3 linked regions of the Stegostoma tigrinum genome follow. The protein of the gene in region 3 interacts with the protein of the main gene of each other region in a biochemical or structural test. Links are inferred from orthologs where the notes say so. Each region holds a gene or a part of one and is shown on either strand. Other genes may lie near its edges.

Evidence for each region. The genes of interacting proteins can lie anywhere in the genome.
Region 1: the proteins of ribosomal protein S6 kinase 2 alpha-like (region 3) and microtubule-associated serine/threonine-protein kinase 1-like interact in a test that uses a peptide from one of them, tested with the Homo sapiens proteins (2 studies listed by BioGRID and IntAct, with this or other methods). The link is inferred for Stegostoma tigrinum from reciprocal best matches to the Homo sapiens genes RPS6KA1 and MAST1.
Region 2: the proteins of ribosomal protein S6 kinase 2 alpha-like (region 3) and lnx1 interact in a test that uses a peptide from one of them, tested with the Homo sapiens proteins (2 studies listed by BioGRID and IntAct). The link is inferred for Stegostoma tigrinum from reciprocal best matches to the Homo sapiens genes RPS6KA1 and LNX1.

What each region holds. Positions count from the first base shown.
Region 1 is NC_081388.1:17,541,908-17,549,658, reverse strand, and holds the start of microtubule-associated serine/threonine-protein kinase 1-like, read right to left. Parts: upstream 3,438-7,751; 5' UTR 3,378-3,437; coding exon 3,295-3,377; intron 1-3,294. UniProt on the Homo sapiens protein: Microtubule-associated protein essential for correct brain development. Appears to link the dystrophin/utrophin network with microtubule filaments via the syntrophins. Phosphorylation of DMD or UTRN may modulate their affinities for associated proteins.
Region 2 is NC_081354.1:107,522,355-107,530,475, forward strand, and holds the start of lnx1 (E3 ubiquitin-protein ligase LNX), read right to left. Parts: upstream 3,438-8,121; 5' UTR 3,353-3,437; intron 3,240-3,352; exon of another isoform or gene 3,125-3,239; intron 1-3,124.
Region 3 is NC_081377.1:32,187,140-32,194,641, forward strand, and holds the start of ribosomal protein S6 kinase 2 alpha-like, read right to left. Parts: upstream 3,531-7,502; 5' UTR 3,284-3,530; coding exon 3,221-3,283; intron 1-3,220. UniProt on the Homo sapiens protein: Serine/threonine-protein kinase that acts downstream of ERK (MAPK1/ERK2 and MAPK3/ERK1) signaling and mediates mitogenic and stress-induced activation of the transcription factors CREB1, ETV1/ER81 and NR4A1/NUR77, regulates translation through RPS6 and EIF4B phosphorylation, and mediates cellular proliferation, survival, and differentiation by modulating mTOR signaling and repressing pro-apoptotic function of BAD and DAPK1.

The DNA of each region.
Region 1 (7,751 bases), on a different chromosome or scaffold from region 3:
GGTCTGGATAGACCAGACAACAGCCAAACTCAGCAGCTCGCCAAGCATGTCTATAACCTTATCCACAACGCGAGCTACAAATCTTCTCGAAAACTTTTAACACCTACGAGTGCAACACCCTCAAACAATGGGAGACAAACGCCATCTGACTGAGAGCGACCCAGATATATTTTGTCTTAATGGTGTGTGTTTCTTTTAATGTTGTTTGCCTTTACTCCTACAGTCCTTGGAAAACTGAAAGAAGATCACTAAAAACTAAAGGTTCTGGATTGAACAGAAATGTAGAGAAGTAAAATCCCATTTCACATCCCTCAGATGCAAAGGTAATTGGGAAGGTTCACTATGAAGGTCACTCAATGGTCAATCTCATACACAATCATGAAAGTCACATATTTTAGAACTCATTTTTCACCTGAGCTCTTAAAAATATTTTATCCTGCTATGACTTAACAGCTAGACACATTCTGAAATGCTGAATGACAAATCAAAAAGGCAAGACTGAAATGATCTGATTACAAGAGTGTGTGCCTGCATATGTGCATACCGCTATGTTTGTGAATGTTGATGTGATCAGCCATGATCATAATGAATGGTGGTGCTGGCTTGAAGGGCCGAATGGCCTACTCCAGCACTTATTGTCTATCATCTATTGATGTCTAGATAGGCAGCTTTATCGTTATTTGTCTGCTTATTTGTCTTCTGCATGCCTTGGAAGGGAACTTGCATGTGGTGGCATTACCATGCCTTTGTTTTCCCTTGCCCTTCTAGACGATAGGGATCATGGATCTGGAAGGTGCTGTTGAAGGATCTTGGTCAGTTGCTACAGCACACCTTCTAGATAATACATACCGCCGCAACTGTGTGCTAGTTAATGGGGTGCCAATCAAACAGGCTGTTTTTTTTCCTGGATGGTGTTGAGCCCGAGTGCTGTTAGAGTTGCATCCATCTATCAAACTTCACGTTGCATCAGACTCTTGACTTGTGCCTTGTAGACGGTGGACATTGGTACATATGGTAGGTACACTATAGATATGTCAGTTGCAGATTTGGTGGATGCCCCACATTACCACCTTCGTAGAAGGCCAACAGAATTAAAGGTCAAGCGGGCATCTAAGTGGGCACAGTGTGGCCTTTCCCAGGATTACTACATTGGTATAGAAATCCCGTATCCCACTCCCAAGAGTTGTTGCTCAGTCAGAGGCCAAGGAAAGACCTAGAATGATTGAGGAACCCAGGCCTCAGATGAATGAGGATTGGAGGGGTTGCAGGATGGAAGTCATAACAGGAGGGTGAAGGGCAAGGGTCATCAACAAGAGCAGAGGGCCCTCCCCTGCCATGTGCTGTTGCAAAAGGATGCAGGTATCTGAAAAGGTCAATGTTGAGGAATGCTTTAACCACTGCTCAATAGGATGATGTCACATTGTGGGAGATCTCATAGAAGTAAAACTTATCATTGAAGTCTCCTTATCGTCCCAGTAACAATATCTACCAGTTGCATTGTTATCATGCCAAAAGCTATAGCATTGGAGTTGTTGCTCTTAGAGCAGAGAAGGCCAGGAAGGAGAGATAAAAAGGTGTAGAGCTGGATGAACACAGCAGGCCAAGCAGCATCAGAGGAGCAAGAAAGCTGACGTTTCAGGCCTAGACCCTTCTTCAGAAAAACGCTAAGGAGGAACCTGACTGGGGTAAACCAAATGCTGAGAGACAGAGAGACAGGGTAGTTGGGGGGAAACCTTTCTCCTTATTAGAGGGGTCACTAACTGCAAACATACTTTTAAGTTAAGGAACGGGAGTTTGAGGCGAGTTGAGGAAATGGTGTTTCACCCAGAGGTTTGTGGGTATCTGGAATTCACTGCCTAAAGGGTGGTAGAGGCAGAACCCTCAAGACATTGAAAAAGTATTTAGATCAACACTTGAAATGCCACAGCTTACAAGGCTACAGGCCAAAATGGTGTTACAATAGATGAATATTGGATGACCAGTATGGACATGATGGGCCAAAGGGCCTCTTTCAGTGCTTTTAAAAAGTCTATGACTTTGTTCTCTACAAACCCCACTTCTTGTTAGACCAGCCGGAAGTGATTGCCCTCCATTATGCTGGAGTCTGCAAGCTCTGTGGATCCCTACGCTGTAAAGGGAATGGCAGCAGAAAACCTCAGCAAACAGCCGCTCACAGTGTAGAAATGTGACTGCGCATACAACAACAAGAACTGCCTATGTAACACAGGCTGGGCCCTTTGAGCATGCACTGAGTGCTTTGAACAAGGGACGCTTCCTGGGACCCCACCAGCAAACACATGGGGTTTTGTTTTTGGGCCTCTTGTTGATATCAACCATGCCTGAATTGATTGGCCACTTAAGGACCTCAAGTGGCAACAGGTAGAAAGGCTGTCCACGAGATTTCCTGCCCCATATATAAACGAGGGAGAGGTGGCAGGCAGTGTTCCAATTGAGCACCCTTTCACTCAACTAAATACCCCTGTGCCTCCAAACTTAAGGGGAAAGGCATCAAATTCTGCTCCGTGTTTCTTTGTACGTTTCTGTGCAACTGTAGATGTTGGTATGGATTATGGGTATTTTTATCTATATGTGTGTATCTATGTACACGTAGGTCTATACTTGACTGTGCACAAGTATGTCTGTGTGCTTGCATGTGTATAATTATATGCATATACATGTACATACGTGTGTGCACATTTTGTGTATGTGTGTGATACCAGTAGAGTCGTACACAAGAGGAATCCCAGCACTCGAAAAGGTGCCAAAGTGGAACAATAGAATCCATCTCAGCATTTGCTGAGCTTCTCTTCCGTTCTGATAATCAGTGTCACACCCACCAGCGGGTACAGCTCCCGGCATGAATTTTTTTTAACTTCACAATGAGAGCCACAAGCTCGCAATCCCTCTATTCTTTGCAAGTACACAGGCACACACAAATAAAAACGGACATCTGGCACCTTGCGTCTTACCAAGGTGAACCGCTGAGAACTCAGTGCTTGATGGCTGCATGCATTGCTGCTTTTCACAGCCCAGCATCTTTACAGCAAGGTTGGGTGGGAGGGAGGAATTTAATCCCTCCTTCTCAGTATCCGTGCAATAACCACAGCCCTTTCCCCTCTTCAGACATCTACCTCTCCCTCCCTACTTAGTGACTGTCCCACCGTCCTGAAACAAGCAAATATGTTGTATGTGCGCACACACACACACAGGTAGGTTTGACCTTCTCTCGCACATCCCCTGTCACAGCCACGCCAGAACATGCCTTTTCTTTGTTCAAAGGAGCCTCTCAGTTACCTTTTGGAACGTCGGAACATGCTGTTATCAAGGAAGTACGGCATAGAAAAATTAGACAGAACAGTCCAGAGGGAGTCAGACATGGTACTGCAGAGCTGACATTGTGATGGTGGCGTTAGGTTGGTCCACAGCACCGTCTAGCCACCGAGGAAGGAAAGCTGTAGTAATTCCCTCGATGGGTTTGGCAGATTATTCCACCGGTCTGGGAAGGGGAGGATGCTACGCGTGTGAGAGAGAGTGTAAGAGAGTCTCTCTGTATGTGTGTGAACGCATTGCCACCAACAGTCTGGAAGAGCTGGCACCTCTTCAAACCCCCACCCCCTGTTCCTGCATCGTCAAGAATCTGCCCCAGAGCTCAGGCACAATCAGTCAGCCCCACATTTGCCCCCGCCATATGGGAGTGTTCGGGGGGTTGGGAGGAGACGGTGTCTATTCATAAAGCTGCCGTCAATTTATCCGGATTTCAGCTGAAAAGTCCAGACCAAGAGGCTGCCAGAGAAGATGAAAGATCACAATGGGAAAGGGAGAAAAGCTAGAAAAATGATAAGTGAAAGAGGCAGACAAGAGAGAGAAAAGAAACAACGGAGACAAAGAGACAAAAAGGGGCAGAGATAATGACAGAAGGAGGAATTTGAGGGAGGGATAGGCACACCTACAGAAATAGGGACTGATACAAATTCAAATACGACAAGAGTCAAGAGATGGAGAGAAAGAAGGAGCGAGGTATAGTCGAAGGAACATCGGGATACAGAGGGAAGCAGAGACTCAAATACTCACATTCATAGTCTCATCTTACTCTTACACACATTCATATATGCACGCAGCCACGCACATTCTCAGTATACCTTACACACTACACACTCTCACATACATACTTGTCTCTCTCACGGAAAGAGAACGACAGTCCATTCGCCCCTCAAGTTTAAGGTCAGGGACAGATGGAGACTAAGCTAGAGTGAATTAGAATCAGAGCGAGACATGCTCTGAAAAACAGACAAAGAGATAATCGTACAAAGGTAGGAAGTGAAAAATAGAAGCAGACACAAACACAGGAGAGGATAACAGTAGAGAGACCGATTGTGTCAATTGCTGTCTTTCTATCACGATGACACTCAGGAACGGAGTGAAACACAGAAGCAGAAAACAGCAGATCATTAAAAGAGAGAAGCCAAGAGAAAGACTGGGACTGAAACAGTGATTGATTAGAAGCAACTTGAAAGACATAACAGATTTTTTCAAAAAAGTACAAAGATGGAATGATTTAAAATTTTATATGCACAGAAAAGTCTGTCAAACCCTCCTCAACCACATGGAGTCACCAGCCTCTCAACAAAACTAAAGCAGTTTGAACAGGGCTGTGTTCCCTACACACCCTCCCAGTTGGGCTTGTTCAACCTGCATCCTTACCCTGTCTGCACCAAAGACCAAGTTATGCAGTCCTGAGCCACAGTAACAAACTCTATTTATGAAGCAACATTACCATAGGAAAACATTCTAAGATGCCTCATCACAGTGAGTTTGACACTAAGCCATATAAATTGAAATAACTGCACAGAAACCAGTATCCAGTCACCAAGTCACCCTTCATCTATGTGTGCACAGTAAAATCAGGAGGGCCTCTGAATCCCCTGTTTATATCTGTCAGCCAGGGCTTTCTGACTGGCCCAGGTTAACAACCCCAATCAAAGGTCTCATAGTCAATAAGATCTACCTGTTTCCAATCACAACATAAGGAGCTTGCAGGGTGAACAGCCAAAAGCCTGGGCAAAGAGGTAGGTTATAAAGAGCATCTTGAATGAGGGGAGAGATGTGAAAGACAGAAGGGTTTAATGAGAGAATTCCAGGAGTTTAAGATCTGGCAGCTGAAAGCACAGTCAGCCATGGTGCAAGGAATGAAATCTGTGATGCTCAAGAAGCCAGGATGGTGTGATGACATTTTAGAGGGTTGTGAAGTTGCAGGTCAACTACAGACAGAAGAGGTGAAGCCAAGGTTGGATCTAAGGCAGATATTAAAGTTTTAAAATGTAGGAATTGACAGATCAAAACACATAGATTGTTCAATTGATAGAGTTCAGAATCCGATTGACTACCTACACCAGAAATGCTTTTATTCATTTGAGGGATATGGATGTTGCATTTTACATGACTATTTATTGCCAATCAATTATTGTCCTTCAGAAGACACAAAAGGTGAACTGTCTTCTTGAACTGCAGCAGTGTATATGCTGTAGGTAGACCCACAAAGCCATGAATGAGGGAGTTCCATGATACAGAGCCAAGTGACAGTAAAGGAACAGTGATATATTTCCAAGTTGGGATGATGTGGGAACTTGCAGCTGGTGGTGTTCCCTTGGAACTAGTGTCAATATCCTTCTCAATGGTAATGTCATGGGTTTGCAAGATGTTTGTAGATGTTACACTGATTATATTCAATGGTGGTGGTGAAGGGAATGAGTGCTGAAGATGGTGATGGAGTGCCAATCCAGCAAAGTTGTTTTGTCTTGGATGGCGATGAATTTCTGAAGCATCAGTGGAGCTGCACTCATTCAGGCAAATGAAGAGCACACTCTTGACTTGTGTCTTGGAAATGGTGCGCAGGCACTGGGGAGACAAAAGGTGAATCACTCATCTCAGCATTCCCAGCCTCAGATCTGTTCTGGTAGCCAGAATATTGATCAGACAGGTCCAGTTCAGTTTCTGGTCAATGGAAACCCCTGCCATGTCAATAGCCTTAATCAATCTCTTTCAGAGAGACTGGCTGAGGGAGTAAACATCCTTCCTTTGTATTATTCAAAGTTCTTTGCTTCTTTATGCAGATATATACATTTTCCAGGTATCCGCACTTTTATAATAATCAATACTCTCCACTTCATGTCTCAATTTCCAAAGCCCGTTGTATTCCTCATAATACAGTACGAACCTTTATCCATTTTAATGCTTGGGGTAAATCCATATTTTGAAAAGGCCATTATTTCACACTTCATATTTACCTGTAGATGTGCTGCTGATTCCCAGCATATCAATGAGACAGGATGTGATGAGCTGGGATGAATGATCGATTTCTCTACCCTGTCACCTTGTTTATTGATTCATTCTTTTCAATGTCATTTTGGCAATTTGGGACCAGCCTCCTCATCTTACCTTGGATGACGATCGTGGTGCTGGGCATGTCATTGACTTGCCTTCCAGCAAAATACACAGAGGAAGACTTGTCACGGTATGTTGGGAGTTCGAGGCCACTGCAGAAAACTAAGTACGATATGCAGGTTGACAATACTAAAATGTAGGAAGTACTGCACTGTCAGAGATGATGCATTAAACAGAGTCTTGGTGTCTGCATAAAACACTTGAGCATCTGATCTCTTTGTGAAACATTTGAGGACTGATCTCTTCATCAAACACGTTCAAGAAAATAGTTCATGGCTCACAACAAAGATATATTCTAGTGAGAAAGAGCGATTCTAGGAAGGGGGTAAGCCAACAATGATGATCCAGGGATGTTAAGGATAGCATTGTATTGCTATCCACTCTGTCTGTACCCCTCATGATTTTGTAGACCTCAATCAGATCCCCCCTCAATCTCCATCTTTCTAATGAAAATAATCCTAATCTACTCAACCTCTCTTCATAGCTAGCACCCTCCATACCAGGCAACATCCTGGTGAACCTCCTCTGCACCCTCTCCAAAGCATTCACATCCTTTTGGCAATGTGGCGACCAGAACTGTACACAGTACTCCAAAAGTGGCCGAACCAAAGTCCTATACAACTGCAACATGACCTGCCAACTCTTGTACTCAATACCCCGCCCAATGAAGGAAAGCATGCCGTATGCCTTCTTGACCACCCTATTGACCTGCGTTGTCACCTTCAGGGAACAATGGACCTGAACACCCAGATCTCTCTGTTCATCAATTTTCCCTGGGACTTTTCCATTTACTGTATAGTTCGCCCTTGAATTTGATCTTCCAAAATGCATCACCTTGCATTTGCCCGGATCTCGGCCCGAAACGTCAGCTTTTGTGCTCCTAAGGTGCTGCTTCGCCTGCTGTGTTCATCCAGCCCCACACTTTGTTATCTCGGGTTCTCCAGCATCTGCAGTTCCCATTATCTCTGATACAAAATTAAGACTCCATTGTGTTGGGGGCAGTATATCAGCAGGGACAGGGGATTGGCTAACCAATAGAAGACAGAGAGTTGGGATAAAGAGGCATTTTTAGGATGGCAATCTGTAATAAGTGGAGTGCCACCGCAGATCGTGCTGGGCCCACAATTTCTTACAACTTATGCACTTTGTCAGGAAGAATGAAGGAGCTGAATATGATTTAAGTGGAGAAAGACTGATGAAGGCCACAGCACATAAGAATTTGGGAGTCAGTCCTTGTGCACAAATTACAAAAAAGATGAGAATAAGGGTTTGTCCATTTAAGACCAAGAGAATAAGGATTCTTTTTCTTC
Region 2 (8,121 bases), on a different chromosome or scaffold from region 3:
CAGCCAGTGAGTTCTGTCCTTGAACTCTCTAGGGCGTGCTCTTTTAGCAGTGCTACAATGTTATCCCTAACTAATATTTCAATCAGCCTCCTTTCCCATCTTTTCTGAAAATATTTAACACCCAATCATATGTTTTGTTGAGCCATGTCTTTGTTACAGCCGCAATGTTACAATTCCAAACAGCAAGCTGCACCTTTTTAAACCTGTGCTCATGGGACATAGGCCTCACAGGTTAGGTGAGTGTTTATTGCCCATCTCTATTAGGCAGTTAAGAGTTTGGAATATCATGTAGGATGGACTGGGCAAGGATGGCAGGTTCGCTTCCCTAAAGGACATCAGTAAATCAGGTAGAGTGTTATGACAATGGCTACATGGTTGGCATTAGGTCAGACTTTATCAAATTCAAATTTTGGCACCGCAGGATTCGAACCCATGTCACTATACCATTACCCTGGATTCTAGTCATCATTTCAACGACTTTACCACTCTGCAATCATCTCCCTATTTTATTGGCTTTACTCTGTGCATTCACATACATGCAGTATAACTCTGATTCAGACTCCATTTCTTTCCTTAAAATTTCTGCAATCCACCCTCCTAGATCATATTTCCAGCCATGCATTAATCTGCTTTATTCTTCTATTTCCATTCTCATTTTTGTGTGGCTCTGGGAGTAATCCAGGGATTACTTCTTCTTTTGAGGCCCTGCTTGCTAAACTCCGACCAAGTTCCCTAAATACTGACTGCAGGATTCCCCCTCCTACCCAACACATTGAACCCATCATGAAACACCACCCCCACCCAAACTCCCTGAATCATATCCTGAGTTGCTCTGAGACATCCTTGACCTCACACCAGACAGGAAAGGGTCTAGGCCCGAAACATCAGCTTTTGTGCTCCTCTGATGCTGCTTGGCCTGCTGTGTTCATCCAGCTCTACACCTTGTTATGTCGGATTCTCCAGCATCTGCAGTTCCCATTATCTCTAGGAAACATACCATCCTACAGTCATATTTAAAAACATGTCTGTCTCCAAACTAATCAGACCCCTATCACTACTGCTCTCCCACCTCATTTTCTTTCCCACATTTGCAGATGAGAAAGCAACTGTTAACATTCCATAGGCTACAACAATGAACTCACTTGAGTCTTAATTATGTAATTACTATTTATACAGCAGAGAGGTAACAAGTTCAAATCCGACCACACTTCCTTCCTATAACTAACAAATAACATAATGCACGAGCAAAAAAAGTGAGTTTAATCAGTCATGCACATCAGGAAATTTATCAAATTCAAAGTCTGGTTATTAGAAATTTATTAACTGGCTGCTTGTAAATCATGGAAATCAATTGTGACTTTAAATGGCATTCTTTGTTTATAGTTAGGCAAAATCAGACACAAGCCATCCAACTGCAACTTCCAAATAAGTGATGAAACTGTTGCCCTCTCTCCTTGCTGTCCAAGTTCTCAACATCTAACTGTTCTATAAATCGGTCTGTACCTTTGTGTTAGTTGCGAAGAGGACCTAAGTAGCCTACAAAAGGGATTTAAATAGGTTAAAGAAATGGACAAACATCTGGCAGGTGGAGTGTGTGGGAAAAAAATGTCATTCATTTTAGCAGAAGGAATAAATTAAAGCAGACTGGTACTTGAACAAAGAATGACTGCAAAATTCCAAGGTGCAGAGGGATTTATTTTTTGTAGTGCATGAATTTAGTATGCAGATACAGCAAGTAATTAAGAATCCTAATAGAAATCTATCGTTTTTTGAGAGGAATGAACATAAGAATTATAGATAAGTTAAGTGAGGGGCAAGTATCTGGCAGATAGAGCATATTGTGGGAAAATGTGAAATTGTCCATTTTGGCAGAAGGAAAAAGAGAAGCCTATTACCTGAGATGTGGCACAGCTTGGTGATGCAGAAAAACTTGGGTGTCTTAGTGCATGTATCACAAAAGGTTAGTATGAAGGTACTGCAAGTTATCGGGAATGAGATGATGAAATGTTTTTCTCTCAGAGGGTTGAGTATCTTTGTAATTCCCTTCTCAGAAAGGCAGTGGATGCAGAAAATTGAAATACTTTAATATCAGAAGTAGATAGATTCTTGATTATGAAGGGAGTGAAGGACTAGCGGGGATATGCAGGAATCTCGAGTTGAGGTTAAAAGCAGATCAGCCATGATCTTATTGAACAGCAGAGCAGGCTCAAAGTGTTGAGAATGTGGTGAACAGCTACCTTGCTGGACTGCCCATGTCCATTTGGTGCAGGTAGACCCATAATGCCATTAGGGAGGGACATTAAACAGGTTCTGAGGTTAAAATTGTGTTACTGAGCTTTGATCGTGTAGTACCAAAAAACAGAAGTTGATCCTTACCAACTGTATTATCTAGAATATACCACTTACAGTACAATATATTCCACCCTTTGCACTCCAACTAATGCAACATATTCCTGACGCTGCAATTAAAAAAAATCACCTCTTGATAAGCTTCATATCTATTTTGGCACACTGACAGGAAACTATGCAAAGTGCAGAAACTACTGATCTTTCCACCGTGCATAGTAGGATTTCAACAGAGCAGTTTTTCATCCTACAGATGCCAATATTCTCGACTGCAAAGCTTCTTAAAACATTCAACCATTTTGATGCAGAAAGAGATTTCCAACCTGTGAATAAATCGAACCAACAGCCCTCCATTCCACTGAAATCGTAAAATATTTACTACCTCAAAAGCTGCTTGAATTGTGCACAATCCATTGTCTACACCAACTCACCTGGATAAAGGTACAAGTTAGTTTGCATGAATAAATTGGACCAACACAAATGATAAAATTCAGTAAAAAAAATCAAATAGAACGTACTAAAAGGGGTTACATTATTGTAAACACAACAGAAATCGGTCTTTTAAAAAAAACTAGCCACTTTGATAACTGGAGAGAAATATTCAAATTCACAGCTCATCCACTGAGCCTCTTAAAATTTACTTTGATCTAAATGTTTACTTTTGTTTTTAAAAAGCGGCTTAAACTGCAGATTTGTCAGCTCAGTAACCCGGTACCAAAAGAAAATATACTTTCCACGAGCTCTGGTGAAGTTTACAGTAAACACACGTGAACATTACCGGCTCTGTTGGGAACTGCCACGGCCTATCAAGTTGGACACAAGTAGCTCCGATAATTCCGAGCGCGGAATAATGAGACAAAGGTGATCACATCCAACAGAGAGCGGATATAAAACTTGAAAGAGAAAGCAGTGTTCACTATTTTATCCAGTTCACCTTTACAAACTATCGTGGAATGATTTCACACCAGCGAATATTTCCGTCACATACAATTAACTACTTACTCACTTTTCACCAAAAAGAGAGAGAAAAGCATCAGAAAGTAAGCAATTGCTTGATAAATAAAGTAAAACTGAAATGCGGTAACTTGCCTACAGCCATAATACAGAACACAGCTCAGGTATCCACCCCACACAGTCCCCGCCCCTCGACTCTTCACTGCCAATTACACACTCTCCAGGCATACACCCCTCAGACTTACACCTCACAGGTACCCACGGTCCACGGTACACATTCATTGAGCATATACAGCCCAGATACACAGATCACGGGTTTTAAAATAATCATAGATAATGGGAACTGCAGATGCTGGAGAAACCAAGATAACAAAGTGTGGGGCTGGATGAACACAGCAGGCCAAGCAGCATTTTAGGAGCACAAAAGCTGACGTGTAGGGCTGAGACCCTTCATCAGAGAGGGGGATGGGGAGAGGGTTCTGAAATAAATAAGGAAAGGGTGAGGCGGATAGAAGATGGAGAGAGGAGAAGATAGGTGGAGAGGAGACAGACAGATCAAAGAGGCGGGGATGGAGCCAGTGAAGGTGAGTGTAGGTGTGGAGGTAGGGAGGAGATAGGTCAGTACAGGGAGGACAGACAGTTCAAGGGGGCTGGATGAGGCTAGTAGGTAGGAAATGGACATAATTGGAACTGCAAATGCTGGAGGATCTGAGATAACAATGTGTGTAGCTGGATGAACACAGCAGGCTAAGCAGCATTTTAGGAGCACAAAAGCTGACGTTTCGGGCCTCGACCCTTCATCAGATTTTCTGTCAGCTTTTGTGCTCCTAAGATGCTGCTTAGCCTGCTGTGCTCATCCAGCTCCACACTTTGTTTTCTTGGTAGGAAATGGAGGTGTGGCTTGAGGAGGGGATAGGTAAGAGGAAGGACAGGCTAGGAAGGCGGGGATGAGCTGGGCTGGTTTTGGGATGCATTGGCGGGAGGGAAGATTTTGAAGCATGTGAAATCCACATTGATCCTATTGGGCTGCAGCGTTCCCAAGCGGAATATGAGTTGCTGTTCCTGCAACCTTCGTGTGGCATCGTTGTGGCCCCCACCTCTTCCTCCGTTACATTGATGACTGTATTGGCGCCGCCTCGTGCTCCCAAGAGGAGCTTGAACAGTTCATCCACTTCACCAACACCTTCCACCCCAACCTCAAATTCACCTGGACCATCTCCAACATATCCCTCTCCTTCCTGGATCTCTCTGTCTCCATCTTAGGCAACCATCTAAAAACCAATATCCATTTCAAGCCCACCAACTCCCACAGCTGCCTAGAATACATCTCCTCCCACCAACCTTCCTGCAAAAATTCCATCCCCTATTCCCAATTCCTTTGCCTCCACTGCATCTGCTCTCACGATGAGGCATTCCACTCCCGCACATCCCAGATGTCCTCGTTCTTCAAGGACCGCAACTTCCGCCCCCGCACTGATCAAGAACACCCTCGACCATGTCTCCCGCATTGCCCACAACATGGGGGTCATAGGGGGATGGGTCTGGTTGGGATGCTCCAAGAGGCCGTGTGGACTTGTTGGGCTGAAGGCCCTGTTTCCACACTGTCGGGAATCTAATCTTTTCTGATGAAGGGTCTAGGCCCAAAACATCAGCTTTTGTGCTCCTAAGATGCTGCTTGGCCTGCTGCGTTCATCCAGCCCACACTTTAAAATAATCATTACGGGATCTAGGTGTCAGTGGTTAGTCAGCATTTATTGCCCACCCCTACCTGCCCAGAGAAGGTGCTGGTGTGCTGCCTTCTTGAAGCTGCGGTCCATTAAGTGTAGATAGACTCACAGAATCATTGGGGAGGGAGTTCCAGGATCATTCAGGAACATTGATGGAACGATGATAATATTTCCAAGTTAGGATGGTGGCTTGGAGAGAAACTTGAAGATGGTGCTGTTCTGATTATCTGCTGCAATTGACCTTCTGGGTGGGCATGGCCATAGGTTTGGAAGGTATTGTCTAAAGATTCTTGGTGAATTTCTGCAGCTCTTGAAGACGTCAGGTATTTGCACTCCGAGATATACACTCCTCCGATACGCACAGTTTCAGATATGGTTGCCTGCCACGAACACGCTACTCAAGAACAAACTCTTTAGGTATAACCCTTCAGATAGCTAGCTTTCAGATATACACTCTTCAGGTGTTACGAACTTGGTTCTCTAGTATTTCCCCCAGGAGTTCCTTCTGTAGCCTCCATGCGCTTCAACCACAAAAGTGTTACCATGCAGAAAAAGACCACTCAGCCTGTTTGCACCAATCTTTTCATGTTTCTATTTCTTTATCTTGTCTATGCTGTTATTAATAGCCACAATTAAGGGTGGTGATCCCTAATTTATATCCCAAATAGGAATTATTTTCCATAATTCGTAGTTTGTGAGTTTTATTAGATATAGTTCGAGATTTGGGACTACTGATCGTGGTCTGTGCATTAACACATTTGCCATAACATAGAAAATAGAAGCAGGAGTAGGCCATTTGGCCCTTTGACCCTGCTCTACCCGTCATTATGGTAATGGCTGACCACCCATCTTGCTTTCGCACCATATCCTTTGATCCGTTTAGCTCCAAATGACACAGTACTGCTGCCTCACATCACCAGGGACTCGGGTTTAATTCCAGACTTAGGTGACTGTCTGTGTGGAGTTTGCACATTCTCCCTGTGTCTGCGTGGGTTTCCTCCCAGAATCCAAAGATGTGTAAGTTGGGTGGATTGGGCATGCTAAAATTGCCTTACAGTGTCCAGGAATGTGCAGGCTAGATGGATTATCCATGGGAAACTCATGGGTTACAGGGGTGGGAGACGGTGTTCAGAAGGTGGGTGCAGACTCAATGGGCTGGATGGCCTCTTTCTGCACTGTAGGGATTCTATGATTGTAACTCTTCCTGGATATCAGACAATGTACTGCCCTCAACTGCTTTCTGTGCCAGCAATTTCCACAGGCTCATCCCTCTCTGGGTGAAGAAATTTATTTACATTTTAGTCCTGAATGGTTGAACCCATATCCTTAGTCTGTTACCCCTGGTTCTGGACTCCCTCACCAATAGAACATCTTTCTTTCAAGTATCCCGTTAGAATTTTAGGTTTCGGGCCAACTGATCGGACTATAGTTCCAATATAAACATAAGGCTAATAGTTACTGATTTCTTTAGAAAGTATGTGGAACAGCAGCGTTTGTTTGTGATCAGCAATTTGGGATAGTAGATTGTGAGCAGAGATAAAAAAAAGTAAAAATAAGTAACTGGACAGAAATAGCAGCAAAAATGACTCCTGTGGTGTCTAGAAGCCTTCTGTAAAAGAAGATAATTGACTTTTAAAGATTAACTGAGGATAGTCAGGGAATTGACAGCAATGATACTCCATTCTCTATTATAATATTGGCTTAGCCCTGAATAGCTTCGTAGATTGTGCCACTGCACCATGCATAGTAATATAATTCGCAGTGTGTAAGTAGAAGCAAATTATCTACTGAGAATGTCTTCAATGGAAAACCTAAACTTTCCAAAAGAATTCATTCATGCCTACGTTTGTGAGAAGTGCATATCCACAATTACCTTTTTAGAATGAAGAGTTTAACCCTCCCAGTCATGATTAACACCTAAGTATTAGGAGAAGTTGTGGCTCATGGTAGGACTAGTGAACATAAAGGGAATTTCAGAAATGAAGGGATAATCTAAATAGCAGAACTTAAAGTGTCATAATCTAGGGAAGAGGCTTAAAATTAGCCTTTTTAAAATGGCAAGCTTCTCAGGTATTGGCTGCTCTCTCAATTAATGTTGTTGAGGCTGGATCTTAGGTCAGCCTGTCATTCCAAATGGGGATCAATATTTTCTAATTAATCTGTTCAGTGATATTATTACAAACCTCTGGAGCAGGTTGAAACTTGAAGCCAGCTCTCTTGACTAAGAGGTGGGGACATTGCCACAAAACAACTGTGAACCCCAAATGAAGGTATACATGCTCCGAATGCATCATTTGTTATATATCTAAAAATTAACAAAAAAAAATCTGTGGACCATCAAGCTCAGACTTTTGGGAGAGACTTTGATGTTGATTGAGAAACTTATTGAAGCTAGTAAAATAAAGATAATTTGATTGGTTGAATGTAATCAAGTTTTTATGCAATCTGTAATTAGTTCCTCCATTTAAAGCATAATGTTGGATCTTCAAACTTACAGTTGCTCAAAAAAAGGTGGATATTTTTATCTATGGAAACTATTTTCAGTGATTTGTAGACATTACTTGACGGTGTGTCAGGGAACTGTCCAGAAAATCATAATTTTAACTTTGAAACTCTTAATAGAATGACCAAAATCACAGAAACCCCTAATAGGCAACATTTTAATGGAGCAATTTTCATTGGAACTATTTGCAAAGCAGTTTAAACAGAGTTTAAAACCTTTTTCAGAATCATAATAAAAGTGGATTTACATAGACATGGTACAAATTCATTCATTCCATTTCACACTGCATTAGCACCAAAGCTGGAAATCCATTTGATTGAACAAACAAGGCAAGACTATTCTGGACATGAGCATTCTTATGTCATAATGTAAAGAGTTCATTATTATTTCAAAATAGCTTTTTATCCTCAAAGCGGTATTACCAGGATCTGCACACTTCATGAGATCATTATCATAATTTCTCATTTAGAGACCAAAACATTTGCAAATTTGACATCTCCAAACATCTCATGAACAATCTAGTTTAAGACTTCAGATGGTGACTGGCACTGGAAGTGAAAATATATTTTAAGACATCAAAAAGTCTTTTCT
Region 3 (7,502 bases):
GGGCACACTGCTGTAATGGAGCATTGGTGATTGAAGGAGTGAATGTTTCTAGATGTGGTTTAATTGGGCTGTTGGGTTCTGGATGGTGTCTAACTTCTAAAATATTGGAGCTGAACTCATTGTGGAACTTGGAAGGAATCTAGTCAGACTCCTAACTTGAGTCTTATGTATGATGGATAGATTTTGGGGAGTCAGAAGGTGAGTTACTCACTACAGAATCCTAACTTCTGACCTGGCCTTGTAGCCACTGTATTTATTTGGCTATTCCAGTTCAATTTCTGGATAATGGTGACCTCTATGGGAGTTTCAGTGATGGAAATGACATTGAATGTCATGGGCTGAAAGTTAAGCTCACTCTTGCTGGATATGATCATTCCCTGGCACTTGTTTGATGTGAATTTCACTTGTCACTTGTCAGTTCAAACTTGGATATTATCCAGGTCCTGCTGCATTTGAATGTGGGCTGCTTCATTCTCTGAGGAAGCTTCCCACATCTGATCTTATAATGAAGATGTAATCGATGAAGCAGCTGAAGACAATTAGGCCTCTGACATTACCCTTGGAATTCCCAAAAAGATATCCTGGAACAAAGATGACTGGCCTCCAACAATCACGATCATCTTCCTTTGCCTCAGGTATGGCTCCAAACTGTGGAGAGATTCTCCCTGATTCCCACTGACATTAGTTTTGCTAGAGCTCCTTGATACCACATTTGGTCAAATGCAGCTTTGATGTCTTTGTTAAACAAAGGCTGTTGTGAAGTCAGGAGCTGAGTGGCCCTGGTGGAACCCAAGCTGAGTGTAGACAGCAGGTTCTTGCTAAGAAAGTGCAACCTGATAACACTATGATGACTCTTTTCATCATTTTACTGATAATCGAGAGAAGAATGAGGCGAACATAACCAACTTAATTGGATTTGCCCTGCTTTATACAGAATGGATCTGAGCAATTTTCCACATTGTCAGGTAGATGCCAGTGTTGCAGCTGTCCTAGAACCATTTGTCTTGGTGCACAGCAAATTCTGCAGCTTATAGCTTCAGTACGATTGCCAGAACATTGACAGAGCCTATGCAGTGTGTAGTGCCTTCGACAGTTCCTTGATATAGTACCTGGCACTTTTGACAGAGCACTGTTGCAAATGCTTCAGCATTATCTTTTGTATTGACATGCTAGGCTCCTTCATCATTTGACAATGGGGATTTTTTTGGAGCTCCTCCTTCAGTGAGGTGTTTAATTGTCCAGTGCCCCTCATGACTGGATGTGGCAGAATTGCAAAGGTTAGATCAGATCCATTGGTTGGATTGCTTAACTCTGAATATTATTTCATTTTGGCTCCAAATAGTCCTGTTGTGTAGCTTCACCAGGTTGACATCCCATTTTTAGGTACATCAGCTGCTGCTCCTTGCATGTCCTCCTGCAATCTTCATTGAACTAGGGTTGATCCCCTGACCTGATGGAAATGGTAAAGTGGAGGATTTCCCAAATTACAAGGCTGCTTGGCCTGCTGTGTTCATCCAGCCTCACATTTTATTATCTTGGAATTCTCCAGCATCTGCAGTTCCCATTATCTCTGATACAAGGTTGCAGTTGTGTTTGAGTACAATTCTGCTGCTGATGATGGCCTGCAGCAATCTTGTGTTGGGTTGCTAGAGTGCAAGAACTCTGAGTGCAAAGATTGTGTTTTTGAGGAGAATCAAAGACTTATCAGGTGGAACATTGTTATACAGTTATGCAATCTTAATTGGTACCTGAACATTTCAACTGGATAGTTCACACTCTTGAGTCAAGAACTTATCCAAAATAGTCAGTGCCTGAGATCAATAGATACCAAAACAAGAACTATTTATTGTAACAAATTCTAGAGAATTTAATGGATTAGATCTCCAATGGAATTGCAGATGATCTTTTCCCTCACTGGTTCAATTAAACTATTTTAAACAAACCATTGTTTTTCAAGAATTATATTTCTGTCGCATGTTGTTAATATGCACATTCAGCTGTGAAATGTTGCTATCACTTTGAATACTTTTTTCTCAATAAAATGTGAAAGAAGTAATAGATTAGCAAGCCATGAAACCTAAATTTTGCCACGTATCAGCCCGATTTTGATTTATAAAGTGAACCGTAATGTTTTATCCATCAGGAGCTTTTATTATAGTACTGCCCCAGATCCAATTTCCTCCCTCGGGAAATGTTGCTTCAATATCAATGTGTTTCTTTCTACTTTCTTTCAATATTCCGTTGTTCATCTTTTAAACCCTGCTTCTCAAGTACAGAAGGATGCAATAAAATTATTCCAGTACATTGTCTAGCAGTTCCGCTCTAGATGCAACTCCGTTCCTTTCTTGCCCACTGTACACACAATTCCTTTTCACCGCTCTCCCAATCTCAGGTTTTCATTCTGCGTGATGACTCCACGAAGCATGTGGCAAATCATTATTTTGGTTAGAAAGCGAAAATTATGGAAGACGAAACCATTTGGTAGCTGCGGGTGCAAGGTCATACATGCGTTAAATAAAGTGTTCATAATGTCATTAGGGCCATAGTCTTTTTTTTCGAGTCACTTTCATCAGCAGCTGCTGCTTCAATATGCGGCATAATTCATTTCACTATTTTCTAAATAAAAAACAATTTTGGCAAAAAATGTCCGTAAATGTGACGTCCTTTTAAAGATATAAAGGTATGCGCTCATTTTTGCGTTAATTAATATTTTTGAAGTTAGCAGAATCCTAAGTCGGAGGCTAGATACCACACGCAATCACTGAACAAAGAAGACGCGGTGACACAAAGCACGCAACTGCCAAACACTGATATTTTTTCCCCAAAAAAATAGTCATAATTGCAACCACAATGTGGCAACATAACCAACATTTGCAATGCCTAAGGTAACTGAATTGTTATCCTGCCGCTTCGATCCTCTGCAGATGCTGTTTCGATAAAATTCAACGGCGCCCCAAACAGCAATTTAGCTACATTTGACAATGATTTTAGTACACTAACCCGCCCTCCATTGGAAAGTGTGAGCGATCGGAGAAGCCCACCTTGGACCTTTCAACTTCTGAGGAATTTCCCCAAGCGCTGGAGCTTAGCAAGTCAGCTCACTGTATGCCAAACAGCAAGAGCTGGATTAAGAGTATCGCTTTTCCTTCTGAATGACATTTCTCTCTCAGCTGAGTTTACACTCCCTCTAGTCTGGTTATGACTTGTTGCAAATATTTACCTCGGTCTCTAGGTGAACCAGGTCCACTTTGGGCCAAGGACCAGCTAACTGTGCCAACGGCATCCTGCAACCGACTGAGAAACGGGACAAGAGGCAAATCCCTGTCAGTGTGAATGTTTCCGGAGAGAGTTGCCCGCTGTCGCTGAGCTCTGTCCAGGTAGGTGAGAGATAACTGCACAGAGTATTGGATCCTTTCTGATGAGTTTATACCGCTGGGTGAAGTGACACCAAGACCCGACTCTTCTCTCGCTCTTTTCCCTTCCCTTCTCGCGGGTTCCGATCGTGAACTGCTGCTCAGCTCGAGCTCTCTGGCGCCTGCCACTCACCACCCTCGCGCGATTACGTCATCGCGTCAGGCGACGTCCATACGTGTGGCTGTGGCATGGCACGAAATGGTGGGGAGTGGACGAGGTTCTAATGGCAATCTCAGAAAAGGTCAGGCAACGTCGATGGGTGCCGTGCGTGTGGAAGTGGTCCTCCTCAGCGTTCCAACCGTAAAGTGTTACACCTCAGAAGGACACCAACGGGCGCATCATATTTGTACGGGTTCTATGAAGGACAGGCTCAATTAGTCCCGCGCAAGATACGGGTGGTTACCGGAAAATTGGCAGGCGCCACTGATGTTCATTTCAGGGGCAAGTGCATGATGGGCCGATCGGCCTTTCCTGTGCTGTTAAATTTCTGTGATGTATTCGCCCGGTCCTTTCTTCACGTTCAATTGTTTTATATTTGGAATTTTTTTTTGAAATAGTGTGTTTCAAATTTTAACCAGAAGAAATGTATCCTCATTTTCTCTCTGGCTTAGTGGCCAGTTATTTGAACTCTATCACCTCTGGTCCTTTCCTCTCTGCCTAAGGAAGTTTTTTTTTCTGTACTTGCTCCTCTAAAATGGCTAATGTTAATGAATAGGTCTATTCGATTTCCCCTTCTCCACTTTAAGAACATTAACAACAACAGCTTAAGTGTATCTAATGCATCTAATGTAATTAAGTCCACAAATGTATTATAAAACTATATATGTCCTCAACTTTATAGAGGGCAGAATTTGGGGGAGTAGTATGGAATGCAATGGAAGACTTGAATCGAGAACTAAGTAGGTATGACTAGTATGTACACCTGGAGTACTGTGTGCAGTTTTGGATCCCTTACTTGAGAAGCGATATCCTAGCACTGGAGGAGGTGCAGAGGAGATTCACTCAGTTGATTCCAGAATTGAGAGGGTTGGATTATGAGGAGAGACTGAGTAGACTGGGATTATACTCATTGGAATTCAGGAGAATGAGGGAAGATCTTATAGAAACATATTATGAAGGAAATAAATAAGATGGAGGCAGGGAGGTTGTTTCCACTAGCAGGTGAAACTACGACTAGAGGGCATCGCCGCAAACTAAAGGGAAGCAGACGTAGGACTGAGGTCAGGAGGAATTTCTTCACCCAAAGGGTTGTGGATCTGTGGAATTCCCTGTCCATTGAAGCTGTTGAATCTACCTCACAGAATGTTTTTAAGGCAAGGCTAGATAAATTTTTGAACAGTTAAGGAATTGAGGGTTATGGTGAGTGGGCGGGCAAGTGGAGCTGAGTCTCAAAAAGATCTTATTAAATAGTGGAGCAGGTTCAAGGGCCAGATGGCCTAATCCTGCTCCTAGTTCTTATGCTCTTATGAATGAGAGTTTCAGGAGCAGATCAGCTAAGGTAGGGACAAACTTGTCACAGAATTAGAATTAAACAGTTTTAGAGATCATAGGAATGAGGTCAGAAGTTCATCTCAGGATTGAACGTGACACCAAGTTAAGTAACAGACTGCCCGATTCTCAGAAAATTGTTAGCAAGAGGGACAGAATTAGTCATAGTGAAAATAGTAGTTAGGAAACAGAATTGGAGCTGGAACCAAAAACAATAGTTTAAACCTCCTAATATTTGATTGGAAAACATTTCTGCTGGCCCAGTACTGTGCGCTAGGAGTAGCTCAGTGGTTAGCACTGCTGCCTCACAGCACCAGGGACCCGGGTTCAGTTTCCCTCCACAGTCCAAAGATATGCAGACTAAATGGATTGGCTGTGCTAAATTGCCCGTAGTGTTCAGGGATGTGTAGATTAGGTGAGAGAGGGGCATGGGTCTATATAGGCTCTCTGGGTCGGTGTGGACTTGTTGCGCCCAGGGTCTGTTTCCACACTGTATGGATTCTGTGATAAACCGGTAATTTAACTGTCATGGAAAAGTCAAGATAGTAGGTAATGAGATGGAGTGGGAATCTACTTTTAAAACCAACGCTGATTTTAGATAATGACAGCAGGTAGATGCAAGACAAATGGGAGACAAGTTTAGATTTGTGGAAGATGTCAGAGATATCTGAGAGATTGAGGAAGAGAAGCTGTTGCTAGTGGCTACAGTTAGATAAGAATGGACCCAGCTAGAAGCAGTGATAGATATTTTCTAACCAATCTGTGCACAAATGTTGTTACACACCCTTGGAGCAGATGGGTTTTAAATCTCGGCCTCCTGGATCAGAAGTAGGGATATTATGACTGTGCTATAAGAGCCCAATCCCAGCCGAGGAGGATTCGTGTGATTGATCATGTAAAAGACTGCACACAGGATGAGAAGGAATATCGTACCTTTATTGCAATCATGTAGGATGTCATTTATGATTTTCACAAGACCTGTTAGGTGCTGCTGTGTTGCAGAGCCCTTATTGCAAGGATTCAAACATGAGCTGTGAAAAAGTTTAGAACAAATTTTGGGAGACCACAACACTTTTTAAGAACTTTGGAAAGAAACAGAAGATCATAGAAAACATGGTCAGTTGCAAAGGAAGAAGTATCAAAGTGTAATCTCTCAAAGTAAAAGGAGACTAATTTGGTTTAGGAAACCTGGTCAGCATGGACAGGTTGGGCTGAAGGGCCTGTTTCCATGCTGTACACTTCTATTACTGTGTAAAGTCACCATAGTCTTACCAGACCATAAGACTGCTGTCTCATTAGAGGAAGACTACTGGCAGTGGTTTAACTTGAGGATCACTACACATAGAACATTACAGCACAGTACAGGCCCTTCGGGCCTCGATGTTGTGCCGACCTTGAGTAAGAGGAGAAGTTGAGAGGAGACTCCTTCATGGTAATGTCAAGGAGAGGTGTGATGACAGCAGATTTAGAGAATAGAGGACCTGAAGGTATAACTATCTACAATATTGGCTAATATGGACATGGAGTTAATATTATCAGAAATGGGAGTGGGAGACCAATTCTAGCTTCTCCAATGTTAATATAACATGTCTAATGTTTAGAAAAGTTTATTTCTTTCTACGTGCCTTGGCATATACTGCTGGAATGAAGCATTTGATTTTGATTTATGTGTATACTGCATTAAAGAGTAGCACAGGGATTGCAAACAAAGATCTATAAAAGTCCTTATTTAAGTTTTTCAGGTTACTGATCAATCTTAGCAACTTGCAAGAGATTGATATTTTGTCTTATTAACATTGAGATATAGAAGAGCATATTATTTAGTATTTTAATATATTAACATGTTAGATGGTGATTGGCAGCGAGAATGCAGCACGGAGGTGCAGGGATCAAGAGGTCAAGCCCAGCACGGGAGAGAGTTTGAGCCCCTGTGAGAAAAGCCCAGCACAGAGCAACTGCAGGTTCATGATTAATGAAGGACTGTAATTTGGAACTTTTAACTTTATTTCTTATTTACTGCTTTATGCTGACAAGAACTGCAATGTTCAACTTTTAACATTTCTTTATTTTTTCAAAGATTTTGTACCTAGGTAGCTTGAAACCTAAGATGGCTTCATGAATGGTGACATTGTAAACCTTTCACTGTGCTCCTGCATCCCTGTACTTGAGTACACGTGACAGTAAAACTTAATAAATAAAGCCTAATGTTTTAGTTATTTCCAATGAAAAAGAAAAAACAAAAAGTCATACTTTACCAACATTCTGGTATTGGTGAGAAAGGACCATGCAGCGTGCCTATAAGAAAAGCTGACCTACATTGTGACTAGTGTCACTGCAGTTTGTGCTGCATGTATCTTGCAGCATTCCAGCTGAAGGAGCTGCTGACTTCATCAGTAGTTCGACAGACAGAGAACCACCTTGAGGCAATTTCCTCACTGCAGCATAGGAAGTGCAACTGCTGCAACAATGTATATATTGCAGCCTATGGCAGACAGCATTTTACTTTACTGGAGAATGCTGCTGGCTGCCAAATGTTTCTGGTTCTGAAGTCAGCCTTCCCAGTCAGACTAGTAATGCTGTCCTGACACAGTACATATTCC